2 linked regions of the Caenorhabditis elegans genome follow. The gene in region 1 interacts genetically with each later gene. Each region holds a gene or a part of one and is shown in the gene's direction. Other genes may lie near its edges.

Region 1 (4,855 bases):
TGTTTCATTTACAACTATGGCTATGAAAATCCGTGTTAGATTGAAAAAAAAACAATTAACTCACTGAATTTGATGGGGAGACATGTCCGTTAAGCTCGGCTTTCGCTAGAGTTGGCCAATCCTGAGTGGCAGCAACAGTGACTGTTTCAGTAACAGGAGCAGTTGCTGCTGGGGCTGTGGATGTTTTCCATGGCTCTTTCTTTGATTCTCTGGATTTTGACTTCTCTTTGATTGGCGCTGCTTGTTTAGGAGTTGGCTCAACAGCCCGTTTCTTTTCTGGAATTGGCGCTGAAGATTTCTGAACGACTGGAGTTGCAGTAATAATAAATTGGTCTGCGGCGGTTTCGGATTTTTGTTCCTTTTGAGCTGCGGCAGCTGCGGCTTCAGCTTCTTCTGAAACTATGATTTTTTTTTGGAAAACGTGAAAACCCAAGAACACTTTCAAAAAAGGCATAACCAATTCGGTTTATGAATATATAATTTTAAAAAAATCGCACCTTTGTTTTTGAACCAAGCGTTTATAGCCGGTAATGGAGCTGGTTCCAGCACAACAGGAATCTCAACTGGTTTCACCTCTTCTGTTGCTACCTTTTCAGCTGGTTTTTCGGTTTTAGTCTCTCCTCTCGGTTTTCGATCGCCTTTTCTGTTATTACGACGTTTTCCTTTTCCTTCACCTCGTGGTCTTTCCGAACGTCCACCAACATTTTCCTTTTCACGTCTGTTATGTGGTGGATGTGCCTGCTTTTCGGGTTGACTGTTTTCGTTTTGTGTAGAAGAATGAGAGCTATCTTGCGTGTGCTGAACCTGCTGTGATGGAGACGAAGCGTCTTCCGCCTGTCCAGAAACTACTTTTGCGAATGAGAGCATGGGCTGCTTCTCGGCCATCCGATCTTCTTTTCTACTTGCTGTTGATGTTAGCAAGTTTTTCTTACCTGGAAAAAAATATTTTGGACTGAATTGGCATTGGAAAATTTTTAAAAAACGTATTCCGAAGTGCGACAAAAAAAGTTGAATAAATTTACAAGCTAGAAAATGGAAACATGGAAGAACATACTATCCACTTTTTCGATTTTGAAGAACATCTAAATTTTTTAATGTTGTTCAGAAAGATTGTTCCGGTTTTTTCAACTTTCTGAAAATAAGACGGTAAAGAATTTTATCAGAATCGTTTGAAGTTTTGGAAAACAAGAAGACTATGGATAGAGTTAATACTTTCGATAAAGTTTTTAATCCGCCTGAGATTGTACCCTTGACGACAAATGGAGAGAACAGAGAAATGAGAGAAGATATTTAACCTTTAAAAAAGTGTTTGAACTTATTTGTTAGAAACCTTAATCAATGAAATGTAAAAGAGAAATCGCTTAAATTTAAATATTTGTCCAAAAAATCGATACTATTTTATTCTGAAATATTAAAAAAAACAGAAAGAAAGAAAGACATAAAATAGCGAAAAGTTCAATTTCTGCGTAGCGCCCCTATGCTTTACCATTGCACTAGAAGTTTACACACAGTCTGGGGGTACACACGAAATGCCCGGCAGCTCGCGCACCGAGAACGCGTCAATAACTAGCCCTCATGCGTCTTTTTGGTCGCCTTGACGCGATTCTCGTGTCCGCTGGTTTTGTTGTTTTGCCGAGTAAACACACGTTTTGAAGGCCAAGACGGGACAGATTATTTTTTTTTCAATTGTTTTTCTGCATGAAAGAAAGCAATGTTTCTTTACTCTATTTTCCCCGTTTCGTAGAAATTTCAATGTCTCCTCTTCCCTAGTTTAACCTTTTCTCAGTTTTGAAATAATCTTTCGATAAAATCAATGATGACTCATAAAAGTTTGTCTTATTAAAAGCGCTCATACTTCCTTAACTTTTCACTCTTTTAGATAATGCCTCCACCACCTCCACCACCGCCGCCTCCACCTCCGCCGCCACCTCCGGCTGCATCGGCTCCGCCACCATCCAGCAATGCTCGAAATGCTCTTCTTGGCGATATTCATGTGAGTTTAAAGTTTTTTTAATTTGTAAAAATAATTTAAATATTCAGAAAGGTTTAAAACTGAAAAAGACAGTCACGAATGATCGATCAGCGCCATCTGTTGGAAAAGTCGTTGGAAGTAGCGGATCTTCATCGAATGGAAATTCTGGAAACGGAAATGGTCCGGCTGCTAAACCTCCACAAATGTCTGGCGGATTAGGAGGTCTTTTTGCGAATGGAATGCCAATGAAACCAAGCGAGAATAAAATTAGACGAGCAACTACTAGTATAGGTATATCTAAGTTTAAACTTTTTGGCAATTTAACGCAATTCACAACAAGAATTTAAAGTACTAGGAAAATATACATTTCAATGTTTTAAAGTATTTTTTCTCGCACGGAGAACAAACTGGCAAAAAAAATTGTTTTCAGTGATATCCCTTTTTAAAATAACCGTTACCCATTATAACCCTCTATCCCACTTTCAGGACCCCCTCCAACCGCCTCATCAGCTCCACCAGTACCTCCTCCTGCTCCAGTTCCAGCTGTTGAAGGTACACATTCAGTTTTTGTTGTCGTTTTCCCCCAATTTTTGGTTTTTTCACTAATTCCAATTAACCCAAGTGAAAAAACAAATGTTTTTTTCAGGAAAAAAGCCATCGATTGTCTCATCATCTTCATTTTCTCATCATGGTGCCACATCTTCGGCTCCTCCTCCTCCGCCTCCACCACCGCCAGTTTCAGTTCCAAGCTCAAAACCGACTCCACCTCCACCGCCACCAGCTCAGCAGAAACCATCGGTTAGTCATTGAGAAATGATTTTTTAAAAAAGAAAAAAATAACTGTTTGGAAGTGCTAAAGAATTACCAAAATTCCGCAGAATAAGTCATCTTTTTTTCTTAATTTTATTCGTTTGTAAAGTTTTGCATGAGTTTGAAATTCGATGTTTACGCTTTCGAGAGATTGTAAAAAAATAAAATCGAAGGATTTTTAAAAAGAAACTTACAACTTGATATATTAAATTAAGCATTTCTGTGATTTGCTGTAAAATGTGAATTAATATTTTTTGTCCAATTGTATTTATGTTTTAGTGTTTCTGTCAGTTTCAGAGTGATCGTGAACAGTTCCGAACGATGAGACCTCTACGACCAGCAAATGATGTGAAACCGACAATGTATCGACGAAGTGGAAGTTCAGAGGTTTTTTTTGTTATTTTGTCGTTTTGCAGTGTTTAGTGGTTTTTAAAGTTTCCTTATGTTTTATTCTCCGGAATTATATTGTGCGCCGAGTCTTATAGACTCTGCGTCTCACCCTCTGACAATATGATAAGCATGAGAAGTTATGTAAAGGTAGGAAGAATCGTTTCGCAATAACTAGAAATTTATAATACCACTTTATGATCTAGTTATTTTGTCCAGAAAGGTAACACCAGATGAAATAATTTTTATTTAATTTCAGGATATACCGCAAGCGACGTCGGCAACCAGACTGGCACGTCCATTAGCTCCTCCGCCAGCTCGCCCAGCTGCACCACCACCGCCAGTACCAACGCCGTCCATAGCACAAATGTCCAGCAGATTCCAGTCGCCAGCGATATCACGGTTAGAAAAATTAACGATTTTTTGAATAACAAATAATTTTAAGTTAATAGTTTCGAGTAATTTCATGTGTATGTTATCAAATTGTTTTTTTTTAAATTAAAACCGGCACAAATCGAACATTTTCAGGACTCTTGATGATGCTCCCCCACCACCTCCACGAATCGCTTCAAAAACATCAGTTGCTCCAACATCATCTCGGGCTCCACTTCCCCCGTCTTCTTCATTTGCACCTTCAATTTCAGCATCTCCAGCACCTGCCCCACCTCCACCTCCACCGCAGGCTGCTTCACCGTATCCTGGAATGAAATCAACTGCGACTGTCTCAGCGAACGTTCCATTTCATCCACTTAACAGGTATTTTTTAAATTCATTTTTTTTTCTTCGCAATCTTTTAAATTATAGGTTCCACTTTCTACCGCTTTCTCAACTGCCACCACCACCTAAAGTTTCGTCTGGAAGTATTCGTGCCTGATTTGGTGCTGCCAAAATGCCTTAAACTATTTTTCTCATTCTCACAATGCTCATGACGTTTCTTTCCATCAAAATGTTTGTAAAACTATTGAAAATAGTCCGTCAATCCCCCAAACCCGTTAAATATAAAATTCCCACTGTGATTTGATGCCCCCATTTTCACTTTCCCCTCTTTCATTTATATCCAACGCATTTCTAAATGTGTACCACTCCCGATTCTATTATTTTCTCTTCGAATAACATAACCTGTTTCTAGTCCCATTTTTTCCTGGGTTTCTTCATGGTTTCTCAATAAATCTGTGAAAATTGTCATTCAACTCTTGTTTCTAACGAAATTTATTTGTTTTTATCATTTTCCAAATATCTTCACAAAACATATATGTTTATAAAATATATTTAAAACTCAAAAATTGCAGTTATGGAGCCAAACCCATCCGATCCTGTTCTAACAGATCGGATTCAAGCAATCGTGACGACTGAAAAAAGTATTGATGAGATGATGAAGTGTGCTCGAGAAATTATTCAAGATTTGGGAAAAGAGAAACAAATCGGAAAAGTTTGTTAAAATTTTGAAGTTAAAAAATATAGAAACATATTTCTTTCAGAATAAAATGGAAGATAATGCGAACAATTTCAAAAAACTGATAACTCAAGTGGAAAATGAATTGAGCGCTCAAATGCAATACTTATCGCATGTTTGTGTTGGATCATCACATCAAGGTATTACTCATTGGAAATTATTAATTTATTTCTACACGTACTTTTCAGGATCAACATTCGGTGTACTTCAAAACTCACTTCTCGCTCAATCTG
Region 2 (5,363 bases), 2.5 Mb from region 1:
TCGCGTTGCAATGGAAGCGTTCGGATCTGTTAGAGTTGTCGACATTCCAATTTGTGACCCACTCCGATCTCGAATGAATTCAAAAATCTCTGGTATTCAGCAAAAAGGTTTCGGATTAGGGCAGGTATCGCAGTGTTTTATTTGTAAAATCAAACGAATTGAATTTTTAGGATGTATTTTTTGAAGCATATGTGCAATTTATGGAGTATAAAGGTTTCGCCACTGCCATGGATTCCCTGAGAAATCGTAAATGGGCAAAACGAATTGATGGACGGTTCTTTCAGGCTAATGTCAAGGTATAGTAGGGTAGTAGAGTTAGTTTGCAATTTTGAAAAATCTATCACATTATTTCTAAACGTTCAATATCAATTTTAAAAATTGCATATTCTTCGCTGAAACGAATCACCTCGTGCCACTCTACAGGTTAGTTAATTTCCCAGAATTAAGGTTGAGAAATAGCTTAAAATTTCATAGGTGGATTTCGATCGATCACGTCATCTCAGCGAAGTTCAAATTGCAAAGCGAGCGGAAGAACGACGTCAAATTGAAACGGAACGACTGCGGCAAGAAGAAGAGGAGTTGAATATCAAGTTTGTTGATGCTACAATTTTAAAAATAACTCACCTCTTCAGACGTCAAGAAGAACTGAAAGTTAAACAAGAACTCGATGATAAAGATAGAAGACGAGAAGATAGAGAACGGAAACGCCGCGAAAAGGTTCACTTGAAACGTTTCAAAAAATCATAATAAAACATACGAAATTTCAGAGGGAACTCGAACGAATGGCTGAAGAAGAGAAAAAACGCCTTGAAAAGGAACGACTTGAAGCAGAGCAACGATCACGAGCCACTCGCCGTTTGCAAGGTGTTCGTCTTTTGAAGTTTCTGTTTGAAAAAATTGAAGCACGAGAAGAGAGACGAAAGAGAAAAGAAGAAGAAAAGTTGAAAGATGAGCTGAGCAAAATCAAAGAACTTGAAGAACAACCTGTAGAACAAGAAGACGCATTGAGGCAAGCTCTACTTCAGCAGAGGGAAATTCGAATGCGAGAACGCTTGAAAGAGAAGATGAAAGCTTCAGGAGCAGAGAAGGATAAGAAGAGAGATAAAAATAAGACTTCTAGAAGAAGACGAACTAATAGACATGACAGTGAGTTACCTTAAAATTATTGTCTATTTTTTAATTAAACTTTTTTTTTCAGCTTCATCCTCTTCATCCGAAGATTCTGATTCTCCATCTGATTCTCCCCACTCTCGTCGACAAAGAAAACGTCAAAGTGAAGGAGATGATTTCCGGAGACATCATCATCGGGAGAAAAGTAGAAAACGTGGATCCTAAGAAAACGCGGATCCTATTTTTGTTTCCTATTATTTTACCGGTAATTTCACTTTTTTTAAAACATATTTTTTGATTTTTTTTTCAGAATCTCAATAAACGTATTTACCTCTATTTTTTCTCGTGCATTATTAAACCCTAACCTGGTTTAATTTACTACTCCACGTTCAATTACCTTTCCTGAACGCGAGCTTCGCATTAAAAACAAATTTTCAGATGAATTTACGAAGTCGCCTGGTAAATGCCACGGAACGTGCTGTGCTTTTTCAAATTTTCAAAGATGTGCAGAATGATCCGGAAAAGTACGACAATGCAGTTGAGGCGATCTGTGAATCAATCGACTATTTTGGCAAATTTTTGACCGATAGCGAGGTATTGTCCTGAATTCAATATTTGTGTAATGTTTTATATTTCTAATTGTAGTATCTTACACAAATCAAGCCGATTCTTGATACACAGTGCCCAACAAAGTCGATAATTTGCTTCTCGAAATGTTTGACAAAAGTGAGCACAGATATAAATACTACCACATTTCGAGATGTGATCACCATGCTCGACTGGTTGAAGTATGTCGTTGAAAAATCGCTGACAAGTGCTATTTGTAGCAGTCTGAAAGTTAAAGAAACTGATGGTATGTGATCAAAAATAATTATTCTTCAACTGAGGATTTTTGTTTTTTCAGTCAGTGCAGTTCAGTTGTATCGAGAATTCGCATCAGCATGTTCAAATATTCCGGAGAAAGTTTCGAATTGTTGTGCAAAGGCATTGTCTGGCGAGCATGTCAAATATATCAACACGGTTAAGTGGATATTCAAAGTGGGTTTATAAGTGAAATATCGAGATAGATAACTTCAATTTTCCAGATGAATCTGGTGCAAGGAATTCAAAAGGCTATGCTTCTTGCTCACGACGACATTGTAACTGCTGCCCCGTTCACTTCATTCTACGGATCCGGTGGTCCTTATATGAAGACTGTCGCAGAAATTATTTCATCTGGAAGAAACATAGATATCACCAACAAGGATGGGCTTCTAGTTCAAATGATTGAATGGATTGGTTCACTAAACAATTTTGATTCTCAATGGCGTCGGATGATGTTTCTCATCTTCCAAGAGCCCACATATCAGGGAATTCAAGTTCATGAATCACTACTGACAACATTGTTCCTAATTTCGAAAAGTGACCAAATCTTGAAAGTTAGTGGTTAAAATATAGTTGATTATATGAAAACCAGTAGTTTCTTTCAGCGATGTATCGAAGCCACTGATCTGACTGGAACACTGAAGCGTGTAGTGATGGTTAAGCTCCCGTTTCAGCGAGTTCTCAAACGAAAGACCATCGAGATTCTTATCAATTTTGTTTATCGAACTAAGGAACAATTTGCCATCCAGCTATTAGAGGTAGGGTTTTGAATCTATATTTTCCGTATTTAGCGAAGTTTTTTTCCAGACTTCTGTGAAAATCTGGAGTGATCTCAATTACGCAAAAAGTGCTCCAGAATCACAAGAACGACACATAGTCAGAATGATATTATACTTGGTTCATCTTTTCAGGTAACAAATATATTAAGAACTACAGTAATAACCTGTCCTTTTAGAACATGTTCTTCAATCGATTGGGAGTCACTCTTCCTGAACTCTATGGATGGAGTTCATTGTCGAATGAGCATGTTGCCTATGTACGTCCAAAGTGGTATTTTTGTTAATCAAGCACTGTGCAAGCAAGCGACAAAGCATCGATCGAAAACGCACGGATCAGATGAGCAACCTCCAGAGACTCTAGAAGAAAACAAATTCGTTTCAAGTGAAGTGGGAAAAATATGGTTTGAAGAGATGACGTCAATTTTGGAACATGGATTTAATTCTTCTACAGTGAAAGATTCTGAGCGAGTTCGAGAAACCGCCAACGAAATAACCAAAGACGATTCGGGTGAAGAATTTGAAGAAACCAATGCACAGCGTCTTCAAAACAACAAAGATTCGGCAGCAATCACATCGAAAAACAATCTACGTTTAGATTCTGATGATGACGAAGACTTTCCTGACTATCAAGTTAATGAATCAGAAAAGATCTTCAAGAATTTAGAAATTGGAGAAGAACCGAAAAATAAAGTGACACCTCCAGCATACATTGCAGATGCTTTCGAAATGCTATTAGAGAAAGAAAAATACGAGGTTTTTGAAGCAGCTTTCTTTAATATTACGAATTTGATCAATCGCCGGCCAATTGGATTTCCACAAATCGCTGAGAAGTTGTTCATCCGAATCCTCCATCTTCAAAACAATTTTGGAACGCCTAAATTCAAGGAAACTGTTGATGAAATTGCAGTTGCATGTATCACTCAGCGTCCAGAAATTGTCCCATCTGTAGTGCGTCTGATCATTGCACCAGGTCAAGGTTTCAGTATCAAACAACGTCTTCTTCATTACATTCACAATGCTGCTGATGGAATGGGTGCATTGGATAAGAAACTTGAAGAGTGTGTAATGGCGCAACAATTGAGAATTGGTGGTCCAACGTTAAGTATTATTCTTCATCGAACTATAAACACTGATTATGACGATGAGGATGAAGATCCCCACAGACTTTTAGTTCCTGAATGGCGACGAATGGTGGATGCTCGCATTGCTGCAAATACCAGAAGAATTGGAACGACGCGAGAGCCACCAAGAGCCGGAGTTGTCAATCGTCTCGCACAAGCTGCCAAATATATGTTTTATCCTTTGTTGGTTTTGCCACGTGGTGAGAACGCAAGTCTTTTGGTGAGTACATATGTTTCACAACTTGTCAATTCCTAGTTTATTACGTGTTTTATCTTAGCAATTTTAGAATTTAAACGTCTGATTACTCTAACTAGAAACATTTCAGGGCAAGGACTCCGATCTACTCGCCTCACTCATCATGGTTGCATCGATGGTTTATGTGAGATGTGGCGTATGTCCTCAAATTCATCGAATGTCAAGGTATACCTTTTAACAAGGTTGTGTACAAATTAGTTTTCCTGAATTTCAGTGAGCTTATATCATATGCAACGCCTCATCGATTCTCTGAAAACGCAAAACTACGGACTGCCTGCATCATTGCCCATCTGAATGTGACGACTTTGTTGCCTGGAGATGTTAGTTTGAAAATCAATTTTATTTGATGTTTAACCAAATATTCAGCTTATGGATGAACTGTTTGATGTACCGGCACTTATTGGATGGTTTGATTGGGCCAATTCTGTACTGGTTAATGCATCTTCATCACAATTGGAAAAGGATATGACTCGCCAGTTTGGTCATAGTGTTACAAAACACCTTCAACGTTATCATCCAGCTGTACTGCAACACCAAGACGTTTAAATAGTTACTATTCACTTGTTTTCCTTCTTTTCAAGTACTGTATCATTTCTTACTATCTTGCCAACACTTTGATCTCTACCTCGTTCACTTCTTGCTTTGCCACCCGTTGATATCACCTGTCTCATTCATTTATCAGCATGTTCATAATATCAAAAATAAAATCTTATCAAATGTATTTTACAAAACTGATTGAGTTGACCCGCTTGTTGAAACATTCCGGCTCTTGTGTTCTAGTTAGACGATGCTCCTGATTCGGATGACTTGGCGCGGCCCACGTACAGGTCAATTAGGTTCAGCTGAAAATCGAATGTCTCTTCAAGAAATTTAGTTAAATCCTTACTTTACTGGCATTTAAAGTTCTCAAGTGTGGCTCCATTCTTTGCATTCCAACTCTCTGAACCAGGGCGACTAATCCGAAAACTGCACATTTTCTTACTGTAGATGACATTGATTCGTAGGCAGTGACAAAACATGGTGCAACGTCATTGACAATTAAGTGTAACTCCTCAATATCAATATCTTGGAACATTCTCGTCAACATTTTCAGAATCAGAACACCACGTTGATCATCATCATCTTGACTCAAAATTCGCCTGGAGATCAGAACGACACGCGTAAGAGGCAGATGAGAAGCCAGGATTCGAAGACAATCTTCTGCTGCAACACCCATCGTGTTGTCATCAGATG

What was found. A genetic interaction does not mean that the proteins touch.
Region 2: changes in wip-1 (region 1) and clk-2 together harm fitness more than expected from each alone (negative genetic interaction), as found in Caenorhabditis elegans (one large-scale study listed by BioGRID).

The regions. Positions count from the first base shown.
Region 1 is NC_003281.10:5,016,766-5,021,620, forward strand, and holds wip-1 (WH2 domain-containing protein), read left to right. Parts: upstream 1-1,873; 5' UTR 1,874-1,882; coding exon 1,883-1,993; intron 1,994-2,040; coding exon 2,041-2,263; intron 2,264-2,458; coding exon 2,459-2,524; intron 2,525-2,618; coding exon 2,619-2,770; intron 2,771-3,073; coding exon 3,074-3,169; intron 3,170-3,428; coding exon 3,429-3,571; intron 3,572-3,697; coding exon 3,698-3,925; intron 3,926-3,973; coding exon 3,974-4,043; 3' UTR 4,044-4,355; downstream 4,356-4,855. Other genes in the region: larp-1 (La-related protein 1), read right to left, coding at 65-393, 498-885; mdt-11 (Mediator of RNA polymerase II transcription subunit 11), read left to right, coding at 4,461-4,598, 4,648-4,762, 4,811-4,855.
Region 2 is NC_003281.10:7,514,710-7,520,072, reverse strand, and holds clk-2 (Telomere length regulation protein clk-2), read left to right. Parts: upstream 1-1,548; coding exon 1,549-1,704; intron 1,705-1,755; coding exon 1,756-1,963; intron 1,964-2,014; coding exon 2,015-2,148; intron 2,149-2,195; coding exon 2,196-2,528; intron 2,529-2,579; coding exon 2,580-2,732; intron 2,733-2,781; coding exon 2,782-2,885; intron 2,886-2,929; coding exon 2,930-4,094; intron 4,095-4,200; coding exon 4,201-4,295; intron 4,296-4,344; coding exon 4,345-4,450; intron 4,451-4,496; coding exon 4,497-4,676; 3' UTR 4,677-4,851; downstream 4,852-5,363. Other genes in the region: akap-17A (RRM domain-containing protein), read left to right, coding at 1-124, 171-296, 475-590, 633-717, 768-1,146, 1,199-1,335; cls-1 (Protein CLASP-1), read right to left, coding at 4,907-4,972, 5,017-5,363. UniProt on the Caenorhabditis elegans protein: DNA damage checkpoint protein required for DNA damage-induced cell cycle arrest and apoptosis, thereby playing a role in genome stability. Regulator of telomere length.